3 linked regions of the Mus musculus genome follow. The protein of the gene in region 1 binds, or shares a complex with, the protein of each later gene. Links are inferred from orthologs where the notes say so. Each region holds a gene or a part of one and is shown on either strand. Other genes may lie near its edges.

Evidence for each region.
Region 2: the proteins of Abl1 (region 1) and Sh3bp1 are in contact, whole or in part, in a crystal structure (PDB 1ABO), measured with the Mus musculus proteins. Residues at the interface, in NP_033724.2 of Mus musculus: Tyr70, Phe72, Ser75, Gly76, Asp77, Thr79, Asn94, Glu98, Trp99, Trp110, Pro112, Asn114, Tyr115; in NP_001303613.1 of Mus musculus: Ala607, Pro608, Thr609, Met610, Pro611, Pro612, Pro613, Leu614, Pro615, Pro616.
Region 3: the proteins of Abl1 (region 1) and Crk are in contact, whole or in part, in an NMR structure (PDB 1JU5), measured with the Homo sapiens proteins. The link is inferred for Mus musculus from reciprocal best matches to the Homo sapiens genes ABL1 and CRK. Residues at the interface, in NP_005148.2 of Homo sapiens: Tyr70, Phe72, Asp77, Asn78, Thr79, Asn94, His95, Asn96, Gly97, Glu98, Trp99, Trp110, Pro112, Ser113, Asn114, Tyr115; in NP_058431.2 of Homo sapiens: Pro44, Asp46, Asn63, Gly66, Pro67, Arg68, Pro69, Pro70, Val71, Pro72, Pro73, Ser74, Pro75, Pro80, Gly81, Ser83, Pro84, Ser85.

What each region holds. Positions count from the first base shown.
Region 1 is NC_000068.7:31,758,762-31,762,745, reverse strand, and holds the start of Abl1 (tyrosine-protein kinase ABL1), read right to left. Parts: upstream 2,808-3,984; 5' UTR 2,710-2,807; coding exon 2,631-2,709; intron 2,574-2,630; exon of another isoform or gene 2,355-2,573; coding exon of another isoform or gene 2,291-2,354; intron 1-2,290. UniProt on the Homo sapiens protein: Non-receptor tyrosine-protein kinase that plays a role in many key processes linked to cell growth and survival such as cytoskeleton remodeling in response to extracellular stimuli, cell motility and adhesion, receptor endocytosis, autophagy, DNA damage response and apoptosis.
Region 2 is NC_000081.6:78,906,235-78,909,784, reverse strand, and holds part of Sh3bp1 (SH3 domain-binding protein 1), read right to left. Parts: intron 3,530-3,550; coding exon 3,448-3,529; intron 3,363-3,447; coding exon 3,282-3,362; intron 2,572-3,281; coding exon 2,455-2,571; intron 1,825-2,454; coding exon 1,727-1,824; intron 1,433-1,726; coding exon 1,273-1,432; intron 1-1,272. UniProt on the Homo sapiens protein: GTPase activating protein (GAP) which specifically converts GTP-bound Rho-type GTPases including RAC1 and CDC42 in their inactive GDP-bound form.
Region 3 is NC_000077.6:75,677,968-75,682,064, reverse strand, and holds the start of Crk (adapter molecule crk), read right to left. Parts: upstream 2,807-4,097; 5' UTR 2,642-2,806; coding exon 2,401-2,641; intron 1-2,400. UniProt on the Homo sapiens protein: Involved in cell branching and adhesion mediated by BCAR1-CRK-RAPGEF1 signaling and activation of RAP1.

The sequences.
Region 1 (3,984 bases):
ATACTCTTTCAGAATTTTCTTACAAGTATTTTTATGTTTGCTTAAAAAATGTTCCTGGTCCTGTTGCTTTATGAAAGCAGGTGTATTACTATTACCTGATGCAGAAAGGAAAAGACTGGTACAGTTTAGGCCCTAGCTGGGCATTTCTAAAGACAGTATTGAATGATCCATAGTGTTTTCCACGGGAGAACAATGCCACGGCAGACCAATGATCCATTATTAGCACAGACAGGCTAAGAATGGGCTTTCTGGGCCAGGTGCTGGGGTGCAAGCCTGAAATCCTAGGTGCTCAGCAGGCTGAGGCAAGAAAATGCCAAGTGCAAAGCCTGTCTCTTTACGTTTACAGATTATTGAGTTCACAGCCTGACTGGACAACTTGGCAAGTCCGTCTCAAAATTCAAAAGTTGGCAAGGGCCTATGGGTGTAGTTCAAGGCCCTGGCTTCCAATACCCAACATTCATTCTCTCTCTCTCTCTCTCTCTCTCTCTCTCTCTCTCTCTCTCTCTCTCCCTCCCTCCCTCTCTCTCTCTCTCTCCACCCCCTCTCCCCCTTTCTCTCTCTCTGTGCAATTCCCTGGAGCCAGATAGCACAAGTTCAAATCCTGGGACTACCACCTGCTGATTCTGTCATCTCAGAGATGTCACCTAACCTTTTTTGGTGCCTCAGTTTCTTATCTACAAGATGAGATAATCAGGGCCACCATAAGAAGTCAGAAAGTGAGGGCATGTGGAATGCAGACAATGCTTGGCCCACTAAGGCCATCTAACTGCTGCTGCTGTCTGTGCTGACCAGGCCTTCTCTGCACAGCAGCAGGGAGCATGCATTTGGTAATAATGGAAAATTCACCATACTCAATTCTCTTCCTGGCCTGTGAGGCCCAGGCCTCTGGGTGGGTGTCATGAACTGATTGATTGATTTAGGATGTAAGCAAGAAATGAAGGCCCAGATTACTTCCCCAGATTCTGGCAACAGCTCTCTTCCCCAGAGACAGACAGCACTTCCGTCTTCAAGACATAATTACACCGAGGCTAGCTTGATTCCGTCAGCTACACAACAAGAATTCCGTCTACCTTTTTGAACTCAGTGAACAGAAAGAGCTCCTAGAGAGACACCTTCCTGGAGAAGGCCTACAAAACCCAAGTGAGGACAGCACTCCTTTGGAACTTGGCAATGCTAGAATTCACCTTAAGGATTATGCTGGAATAAGAATGGATTTTTTCCCCCTTCTAAAACAAGAATTAAACCAACAGCTCTGCACTAAATCCCACATTACCCCAGGAACAAGCTGATACCTTAGCAAAGCTGTGACATGCCCCAACTCTGCAGTTACAAAAGTCCATTCATCTCCGCCTCCAGCGGCTCAAAATGGAGATAGTGCCTCTCACTAACTGGATACAGATGGGGAGGAGAAATGTGCGGAGAGTGTGGAGCAACTTGGAAAAAATAAGCAACGCATTAACTGAGGATGATTCTGGCCGCTCAGATGCCAACTCTGGGGACAAATAAACCATCTCCCTCCCTCTAAGTGGTAGGCCCTGAGCTCATGCCATCCACACCAAGCTCCTCTCAGGAATCCAGGCCCTGAAATCCCCGGAGGGGCTGAAATCTTACTGTGACTTATAGCGAAGTCCCTTATACTCCCTTCTAGCAAAGGGAGAACATCCTCTACCCGAGCTGGGCACCTAAGTCTGAGCTGGGTCATGTGGGGCCCTGTAGGTCTTTGAGTCAAAGACTTGGAAGGGGGGTCGGGGAAGCAGGTTAGATATTGAAAAGCCTTCAATTCTTTACAATTCAAAACAGTAGAAATCCAAATTGCTCTGAAGAAAACTTTACATTTTTACTCCTATCTTAACTCTTACATGAAACAGCCAGAAAAGCCAGGGCACCACACATCTGTGAGTGCTTCTGCCCTTCTGAAGAAGGCAGCAGTCCCCACAAAGGTCAGCTATACTCTAACAGGCCTGGCCACAGCCGAGTCCCCAGCACTCACCACTCACCCTTTTCCCTTGCCATCCTTTTAGACCCAAACACTAAAGACAACAGGAAGGAGGCATGGAATTGGAGGAGCAGGGTAAAGCAGGCAAAAGCAACAGGCTCCTGGCTCTAAGTTTATGCAAAGAACAAAACATGAGGGGCTCCCTCACCAAGCATCAAACTGGAAGCTCTCAAAACTCCTGGAAATACAAGCAAAACCATTCTTTCTCTTCTAAAAAGAGACAATCCCCAAGACCTCTTCATGGTCTGCAGAAAGGTGGGGGTGGGGGTGGAAAGTTCACATGAAATTCTGTACCCATAAATGGTAGAGCGGGATCCCTTTGTACGCGGCACTTGGTGTAGGTCCACCTTTGTGACATACAATTCCCAGTTGGCAGTGGAAACACCACAACGTGGGCTCACAAGGACCTTAAGGCCTGTGGCACTGACTTTTTCAAACTTTCTGGGCAGGAGCCACACTATGCGCTTGGGCCCCGCCAGCGCCAAAGCCGCGGCTCTCTCTCTCTTTCTGGAAGTCCGAATGAGCCACCAGCACCCGCAGAGGCCTCAGAGGGAGAAGACTGGGGACCTAGAACACACAGGGCACGGGCGGGCAGGACAGTCCTGGTGGGCCCCGCGCCCAGGCCAGGATTTACCTTCCAGGTAGCAGCTGGAGGACGAAGAGAGCCCCTTCTTGGATTTGCAGCCCACCAACTTCAAACAGATCTCCAACATGGTCCCGTGGCCACGGCGAAGGCCCCACCACCCCGGGCCCCCAGCCCCGCCAGGCCGCGCTCCCAGCAGGCCCGCGCCCAGGCCCGCGTCCCGCCTCCCGCCTCCCGCCTAGGCCGGTAACAAAGGGCCCAGCGCCCCGCCCCAGCCGTCCCTTAACCCCTTCCAGGCCAAGGGAAGGCTCCACGCCCTCCCCAGCTGCGTAGCTGCGCTGGCGTAGCCCCTGCCCCTGCCGCGTGTCCGGGAAGGTCGGTGGAAATGCAAATTCCTCTCAAGTTACCAGGACTGGTCTCGGGGAGCGACTGTGATTAAACCTAAAGTGGGTATCTGAGGAATGTGAACAGTCAGGGCTGGAACCCACAGGAATACCGAATACCGGACGCGGGTCCAACCACCCATTTAGACCTGGAGTTGTGAGTTTAAGCTTAGGGAAATGTCTCTATGGTGCGTGTTCATTGTGGGCTGGAATGGCGGTCCTTCCTGACCTCATTTTTACAAGAATTTCCCCTGTTTTTGGTGCCACAGGTAATGTTTGAATCCATTTCACGGTGAGTTTTTGTTTTCCTAAACGCTAGCTCGAGGTTACCAACAAGATTTTAACTAAGCAATGGTCACAGCAGTGGACTACTGGCACTAAGTTGGTGGGAAACAAGGACCCCAACTACAACAAATCTAATAAAAACTCACCCAAGTTCCAATGACAAGGGAAAAATAAACTTATGAAATAATGTCACATAACTAAAAGTCTGGTCCCCATCCTTGCACTTGAAGAGCTGACTGTCCCAGGATGGTTCTCTGAGAAGTGCTCCATGTGCCTTGGTACCCAGAGGGTGCGTGCACCTAATCCTGTGAGGAAAGTTATATCATGACCCAGATTCTTCATGTGAGAACAGACACTCCAGAAGGTCACATGGTGGAAACCAGAAGACTCAACTCAGTCAGGGTCTGCCTGGTTCCAAAGTTTGGTCTCTTGGCTTCTAAGCAGACTGTACCGGATAGCTAGATCCATGACAAAAGTTATCACCTGCCGGGCGTGGTGGCCCACGCCTTTAATCCCAGCACTCAGAAGGCAGAGGCAGGTGGATCTCTGAGTTCGAGGCCAGCCTGGTCTACAGAGTGAGTTCCAGGACAGCCAGGGCTATACAGAGAAACCCTGTCTCGAAAAGCAAAAGAAAAAAAAAAAAAAAACAGTGCCATGACTGTGCCTGTGACAGGCCTCTCAGCCAGGATGTCACACACTTTTCGTGCTAATCAACCCAAAAATGTGTCTGTGCCAAA
Region 2 (3,550 bases), on another chromosome or scaffold:
CACATGGGAAGAGGAAGTCTCGACTGAGGGATCATCCACATCAGACTGGCCTGAGGCTATGTCAGTGTGTGTGTGTGTGTGTGTGGACACTATTGATGTGGGACTGTCTTGACTGCCCTGCTGATTGATGTGAGAGGACCCAGCTCACCGTGGGCCACACTGTTTTCAGACAACCATCCTATGTTGTATAAGAAAGCTGGCTGAGGACCAGCCAGGGCAGACGACCTCCAGGGCTCTGGCCTCTGCTTCTGCTTGTGACCCTGCCTCCCTGATTGACTGCTACGTAAAGTATAAGCCAACCCTTTCCCTCCCAAGTTGTTTTGGTCACAGTGTTTATCAGAGCAACAGGGAGTAAATTAGTAGAAAGCCTAGGCTTGGGATATAACCTGTGGGGCGGTCCCAAAGAGGCGGGAAGCAAGCCTCTGCCTGGCCTTTCCAGGTGATCTTTTTTCTTTTTTGAGACCGTCTCATTCTCACAAAGCCTAGGCTGGCCTTGAAGTTTCGACGTAGGGAACGACGATACTGAACTCCTGATCCTTCTGCTTCCACCTCTCCAGTGCAGATAAGTGCCATCACACCCATTTCCTGTCATGCTGGGGCTAGAACCCAGCCTTCCCATGTGCTAGGCAACCAGTTGAACTACACCCTTACACCCCCATGGGATCTGTAGATGTTCTGCCAACACAAGTCAGAGAGTTTGTGAGCAGCCGTTGAGAGAGTCTGGCTTCCTAAACTTCCATTTGGCCATTTCCCCAGAGAGGCCTTCCTTTCCTCCCCAGCTGGTAGAGCCCTCTACGCTGCCCATATAATGCTTAACCCTCCAGCACAGCGCATCCTGACATCACAGGAATGTAGATGGGACATGGCCATTCTCCCTGCCTCACCCAAGGCAGGGGTTGAGGGTGGCATATACCCGCCTCATCTGAGGAAGTCCACAGACAGCCATGGTTGTGGGCCACTGAGAAACACCCGTCTGCCACAAAACCTTTCAGACTTACAGGATTGGAGACAGGATAGTTGTAAATCCCACTGTCCCCTCCCAATTCTCTAAATTCTCAGGAAATGAACAATGCCTGGGGCACATAGTAGGTGCTGTAGAAATAGCTGTACAATACAGAAAGGAACACGTTTAAGGCTGAGAGCAGGCTCCTCCCGCCTACTCCAACCTGTGGGACCTGATCTACAGGACAAATAGCGCAGATTGCATTCCTAAATCCTCAGAGAGAACGCCCCAGGCCAGGAGTAGATTATTCACGATGTTTAAGCTCTTACCTTTCTCTGACAGCCATTGAGGCTGGAGCCGGGGTGGGAGCTGGGGTCGTGGCTGGGGCAGGCACAGTAACAGGTGGCAACTCCTCTGAGACCTGTTGGCTACTGACCTTCTCCTGGGGGGCCAGGCCTGGGAAGATGCCTGATACATTGAAGTTGATATCTAGAGATGGTATGAACAGGGGTCAAGTTCAGAGCCTTGGCCAAGCCTGCCTGGCCTGGCCAGAGCCAGGGCTACTCTCTTTCCCTGAAAGGATGGGACTTCTCTTTGCTTCCTTTTTCCATGGGTAAGACAGAACCGTTCTCATTTCACAGATGAGAAACTGAGGCTCAGTATAGAAAAAACAGTTTCCTCTAAGCCACATGGAGAGTTTTGGGGGCAATCAAGGACTGAGGCTGGGCTGTAGTCCAGGAGTTGGTGGAAGTGGGGACTAGAGATGACAATAAAGGACATCACCTCCAGGGAAGAGGGTGTCTGCGTTCTGTATCAGCGCCTCGACAACACCCACCACCTGAATGGAGGACACAGAGGCAGCGTCCAGTTGGGCCTGGTCCCTGGCACAAAAGAGAAGCAAGAGTTTTAGTGACACACTAACATTGTGCGACCCTGCTGGGCGTGGTTGATGGCACGCGTGTAGCTCACATACCCCATCTCCCATTCCTTCACCTATGACAGATATCACTAATCGATTCTGGGCTATCGTTTTTCCCAGGTCTTGGATTGACTGCCTCTCCCCCTGCCCCCAAACAATTACAATTCAGCACATGGGATCCTCGTTGTACATCTGTGGCCTGAAAAGTAGGGGTGACTTTTCATGTATCATTGAACTTCACAGTTTGTAAACCATTTCCCATCTAATTCCTAAAGTAACACCTACCCCCTCCCCCTTAGAATTTATATCGTGTCTCCCCAACTGACAGATGCGGAAGTGACTCTCCAAGGCCCACACCTGAAGGTTGAGAGTGAGGCTTCAATCACTCCTCAGTGGTGGTTTTGAGTACCTGCACCAGGTCACCACACATGTGCCCGCCCCCTCACTTTACCCTGGTCCCTCAGGCTGCTCCTCATGGGAGCTTCAGATTTAAGAACTACTCAGCCCACTGCAAGGACAGAGAACGGAGGTCTGGGCAAATCAGCAGCTGGGGACTAGCTGGGGACAGGCTCCCTGGACTCATGGCCCTCACCCTTCTTTCTCGGGAGGCCACAGCAGGTTGGGTCCTAGGACAATGGCGATGTTGCTGGGTGTCATCTTGTTTACATCCTGCTCCTCTGCCAGCAGAGCCAGGAACTTCATCAGGTACCTGGGTGGGGTGGGAGAGCATCACAAATGCTCACGGCGTCCTTAAAGGCCCACGAACTCCCTACCCTAGGGCTGCACTCGGCATGGTTACATTTTTATCACTCAGCATGATTGATTACATTTTTACCACTCAGCATGATTACATTTTTACTAGTGAAGTTTCCCCCGATCTGTTTTTTTGAGCCAGAGAACTGCCTGCCCAGGGTCCCAGAATGGCAGGGGTCTGGGTCTGCAGCCAGGTAATATGGATTCACAGGCTCAGTAGGGGTTTCTGCTTGTTTTTTAAGACAAAGTCTCATAGCCCAGCTTGGCCTCGAACTCTATAGAGCCAAGGATGAGCCTGAAGCTCTGATCCTCATGCCTGTGTGACTGCAGGGATGCACCAGTTCACGGCCTGCTGAGGACCAAAACCAGGGTTTCTTCCTTTTTTGTTTTTTTTTCAAGGCAGAGTTTGTATAGCCCTGGCTATCCTGGAACTCACTCTATAGATCTGGCTAGCCTTGAACTCAGAGATCCACCTGCCTCTGCCTCCAGAGTGCTGGCACGGTAGGCATGAGCTACTGCACATGATTGGGTTTGTCTGCTCTGGTATCTGGTCTAGTGTAAAAGACAGGAACAGGACATCACAGCTAAGGTTCTGTGCACAGCATAAAGCGAACCCCTAAGCTTTGTTTGTGTGTTGGTGGGGGTGGAGGCGGGGGCAAGGCTCACCTGAGGTTGTTGAAGTTCTCTTGGGGTAGACGGCTGCAAACATCATGGAGGGCTTCCAGGCGGGCTCCTGGCTCCTTCAGGCTGAGGAGGGACAATCATCAATGCACCAATCCAGGACCATGTTTCCAGAGCTTTCGCTCCCCTCCCCACCCCACCACCTCCTCACCTGGCTGCTCTCATCCAGTCATCGTAGAGGTCAGAGGTCATCAGGGGCTCCGGCAGCTCCCGGAGATAGGACTTGAGGGCACCTGAAACAAGGCAGGGGAAGG
Region 3 (4,097 bases), on another chromosome or scaffold:
AGAAAACCAGCTTAATGGGGAGAAGGACAGCGATTAAGTAACCATCATAAAGACAGCAAGCAGCTGGGCAGTGGTGGCGCATGCCTTTAATTCCAGCACTTGGGAGGCAGAGGCAGATGGATTTCTGAGTTCGAGGCCAGCCTGGTCTACAAAGTGAGTTCCAGGACAGCCAGAGCTACACAGAGAAACCCTGTCTCGAACAAACAAAAAACAAACAAACAAACAACAACAACAAAAACTAGCAAGTGAACTGACTGACCTATAGAGAAATTGGGGAACGTGACAGAACAAATTGCCACAAAGCCAATGAACTTTCCACACCTAACCCACAAACTGGCAATCTTCTCCTCTTTGAGGCCAACCACCTATTTTGAAAAGGTGGAGCTACTGAGATATAAAACCACAATGCCCAGGTATAGAGAACTATTAAACTAATAAGCCTGCCTAATGCTTTTCCCACATTTTCTAATAAAATACAGAGAAAGCAGAGGACTGAATCCCTCACCCCCAACTATTGGGAATAAAACCTAGCCTGCCCAAATGCCAGGCAAATAAACTACCACTCAACTAGATCCCCAGTCACAACCCTTCACATAACTTTTACTTTGAGGCAGTCTTTCTAAGTTTCCCAGGATGGCCTGGAACTTTTAAAAATCTTCTTGCACCAGCCTCCTAGGTGCCAAGATTAGAAGCATGAACTATGAAATCTGGATGAGAATTGAATTTCATCTTACTATTTCATCTTACTATTGCACTTAGCACAAAACAATAGATTATTTTACAGATAGCACAAATATAGAATTTACTTTGTTTAGGGCAATTGTGTTGCATTAATATTCCTATCTGATTTTATATTATCAAACCAACAAGGGGCTGGAGATGGTTAAGAGCACTGACTGCTCTTCCAGAGGTCCTGAGTTCAAATCCCAGCAACCACATGGTGGCTTCCAACCATCTGTAATGAGATCTGATACCCTCTTCTGGTGTGTCTGAAGACAGCTACAGTGTACTTACATATAATAAATAAATCTTAAAAAAAAAAAAAACAACAAGACGTAGAAAGGTCTATATCTGTTAACTAAAAAGACTTCAATACTCAAATTTTCCCCTTAACTTGTGTGCTAACACAAAGAACCGTCGAATCCCACTTTGTGGCCAAAGGGAGTAAATCTAAATTAGAGCTATCCCAAAAATGCAAGTCTGCTACAAGGCTAACCAGTGAGTCTCCATTCATGAGACTAGCTCAGCTCTAGAAGGAAAAAGCTTACACTTCAAACATCCAGAAAGCAAGAAGCTTGGTGCTGTTATACACAGAGACAACAGAAATCTCAGAATCACTGTTCATCTCATAAACGTCAAGGGCTAAGTGCATGAATTCCCTTAACATTGCCAAGACAACTGCAATAAGACAGCTAAGACAGTTAAAACTCAATGGTCCTTGACGAGGAAACAGTGGGATAATTATTCTTGGTGTTTATCTGCTAGCCAGGTCTGTTCTCATATCCTGGAAGATTTTGACCACAACACCAACTTAGAGAGCAAGAAAAGACCCAGAAGTACGTGTCTGACACTTTTTAAGTAAATCCAGGGAGAATGAAGTGCCATTCACTTCCAAGGTTGTTCTCACTGGCTTATGCCTGTTTGTTTGTTTGTTTGTTTGTTTTCTAAAGGAAAAAAATCTTCCTCCACTAATCACTTTGAAACTAGAAACTCTAGTTGCAGCGGGCAGTTTTTTTGGACACTTAAAACCTCTTGGACACAATTTGCCTGCTAGGCTTCAATTACGCGGGGCTGGTCACAGAAGGATTTTTTTTCTATCACCAAGTCACTTAGTTCACCACCTTCCACAAGGGAAGAGCACGGTAAAGATATTTTGGAAAAATGCCCAAGAAAGGAAAAAGCTGACCGGCTTCCTGAGGGTGTCTCCATCCCTCCCAGCCAGCCAGTCAGTACGTGGTGACTTCCTACCGAAGGCCACCAGGGGAGTATGGCCAAACCCGGCTCTAACACTGCAGGAAACGTTTCAAGCCTAAAAGCCACTTGTAGGATTAGCAGAGCCATTCTGAGTACCACTGCCAAATGATGTCCCCGTAACATCCCCATTAACTCATTGTCCCCAAGTTGCCTAGCCCTGCCCTGCCCTTGGGCCTGACCCTGGCGCCCAGCCCCACCCCGGGGCCGCAGCAGTTCCCCTTCCCCGGCTCCCAAGGCACACCCAGAGGCCTCGGTGAGCAGCTCCTCCTCCCCCACAATCCCGCTCATCGGTGGGAACCAGCTTGCTCAGAAGACAGCTCCCCCGCCAGGTTCACTCTAGCCCTCTCTGCCCACGTCCCTCCTGCAGCAGACCAGGGTTCTACGGCCCTCACCCCCGCCCGGGCCTCCCACCCGCCTGTCCCTCACCCGGCGGAGGCTGAGCGGGCGACGGAGGCACTGGAGGGCGCGGGCCGCTGCTGTTGATGATGTAGTGGGAGACGCGCGAGTTTTCGGAGACGCTAAGCACATAGTCCCCGGGGCTGGTGCTCGAGTCCCGCACCAGGAACACCCCGTGCCGCTGGCCCTGCAATAGCGCCACCGCCTCCTGCCGGCTCAGGCGGCCCCAGTACCAGCTACTCCGCTCCTCCGAGTCGAAGTTGCCCGCCATGGCCGCCTCCGCGCTTTCACGCTGGGCCGCCGCCGGCACGCGCGCCCCTCCAGCCCTGGCGCCCGCCGCCCAGCGGACCGGCTCCGGTGTCAGCCTCCCAGCAGCGCCCGAAATGGCGGCGGCGGCCGCGGGCCTTCCCCACCGGAAATGACGCGCCCTCTACCCGAGGGAGGCTGCCGGGAAGGGGACCGACGCCCGCCATTGGGAGAAGGGAAACGGAGTCCTTGGGGCCCTCAGTGCGCATGCGGCGTCCTGGGCGTCGCCGCCAGGCCCAGACCCCAACCGCGGAGGATGGGGAGGCGGAGTCTAGGTCTAAGGGGCGGAGCCTCAACCTACAAATTGACTGATCCGTGTTTGACAGATTGGTAGCGGCCGGTCTTTTCTCCCAGAACCTACAAGTAGCAACACCAAGAAAAGGACTGAAGTTAAAAAAGATGATGTGGTCCGAGGATGATAGTCGCCCTCAAAGCTCCCTGACTTGCTGGTCTTTTCCCCGTGTTTCCTTCGGTTTCCCCCGAGGTCAGCTGAAGTTCTTGTTATCTATGAGCAGCCACAGATACCGCATTTGCCGCGCAGGTGCAGTGCTGACCCAGACTGGCTTTAAGTCACTGAATTCACACACCTATGGGAGGGACCAGGAAACAACATCTGCTATGGGGGCGGGGGGGGGGCAGAAACACAAGGAAATCAACTAAGTAGTCCTGGAGAGACCCAAGGGCTGGGTAAAGTGACTCATGACAGTTATCCCAACCTCTCAGGAGTTGAGACAGGAGGATCCCTGTGAGTCTGAGGCCCTGTATTATAAAACCAAAACAAATAAGAGGAAGGGGTCCACAGATAAGATGACCTAGGGTGAATGGTAGGATGTTAAATGAAGTGGGGAAGGGTACTCAAGGCAAAGAAAACAAAATGCCCAGCCAGGCCAAAAAAAAAAAAAAAAAAAAATGGAGTTCTCTCTATTGGGGCTCCCATATCCACCAGCCAGATTTTTTTTTAAACTCTCAGTTGTAGCCAGGTGTATCTCCTACTTTTACTTCCTTCATGATCATCTTCATCTATCTCAAAAAATTAATAAAAAAATGGGGGAGGGAAGGGTTTCTCTGTATAGCTCTTGCTATCCTGGAATTCACTTTATAGACCAGGCTGACCTCGAACCCAAAGATCCACCTGCCTCTGCCTCCCAGTGCTGGGATTAAAGGTGTGTGCCACCATTGCATAGCTGTTACTACTGTGTTTTGTATATAGTGAGACCCGGTCTCACTACAAAACCAAAGTTATCCTTAGCCTAGTCAATAGCTCCGGCCTTCCAGAGCTCCCACCCATAGTCTGGGCCAGCCCTGGGAGAGACAGCAGGGAAAAGGGCCCCTTCCTTGTTACCAGTGACTCATCTTGATCTAGCTTAGTCACCAGGAACTAGCAGCAGAAGCCATCCAGTGTAAATTCTGGCCCTTTGGGG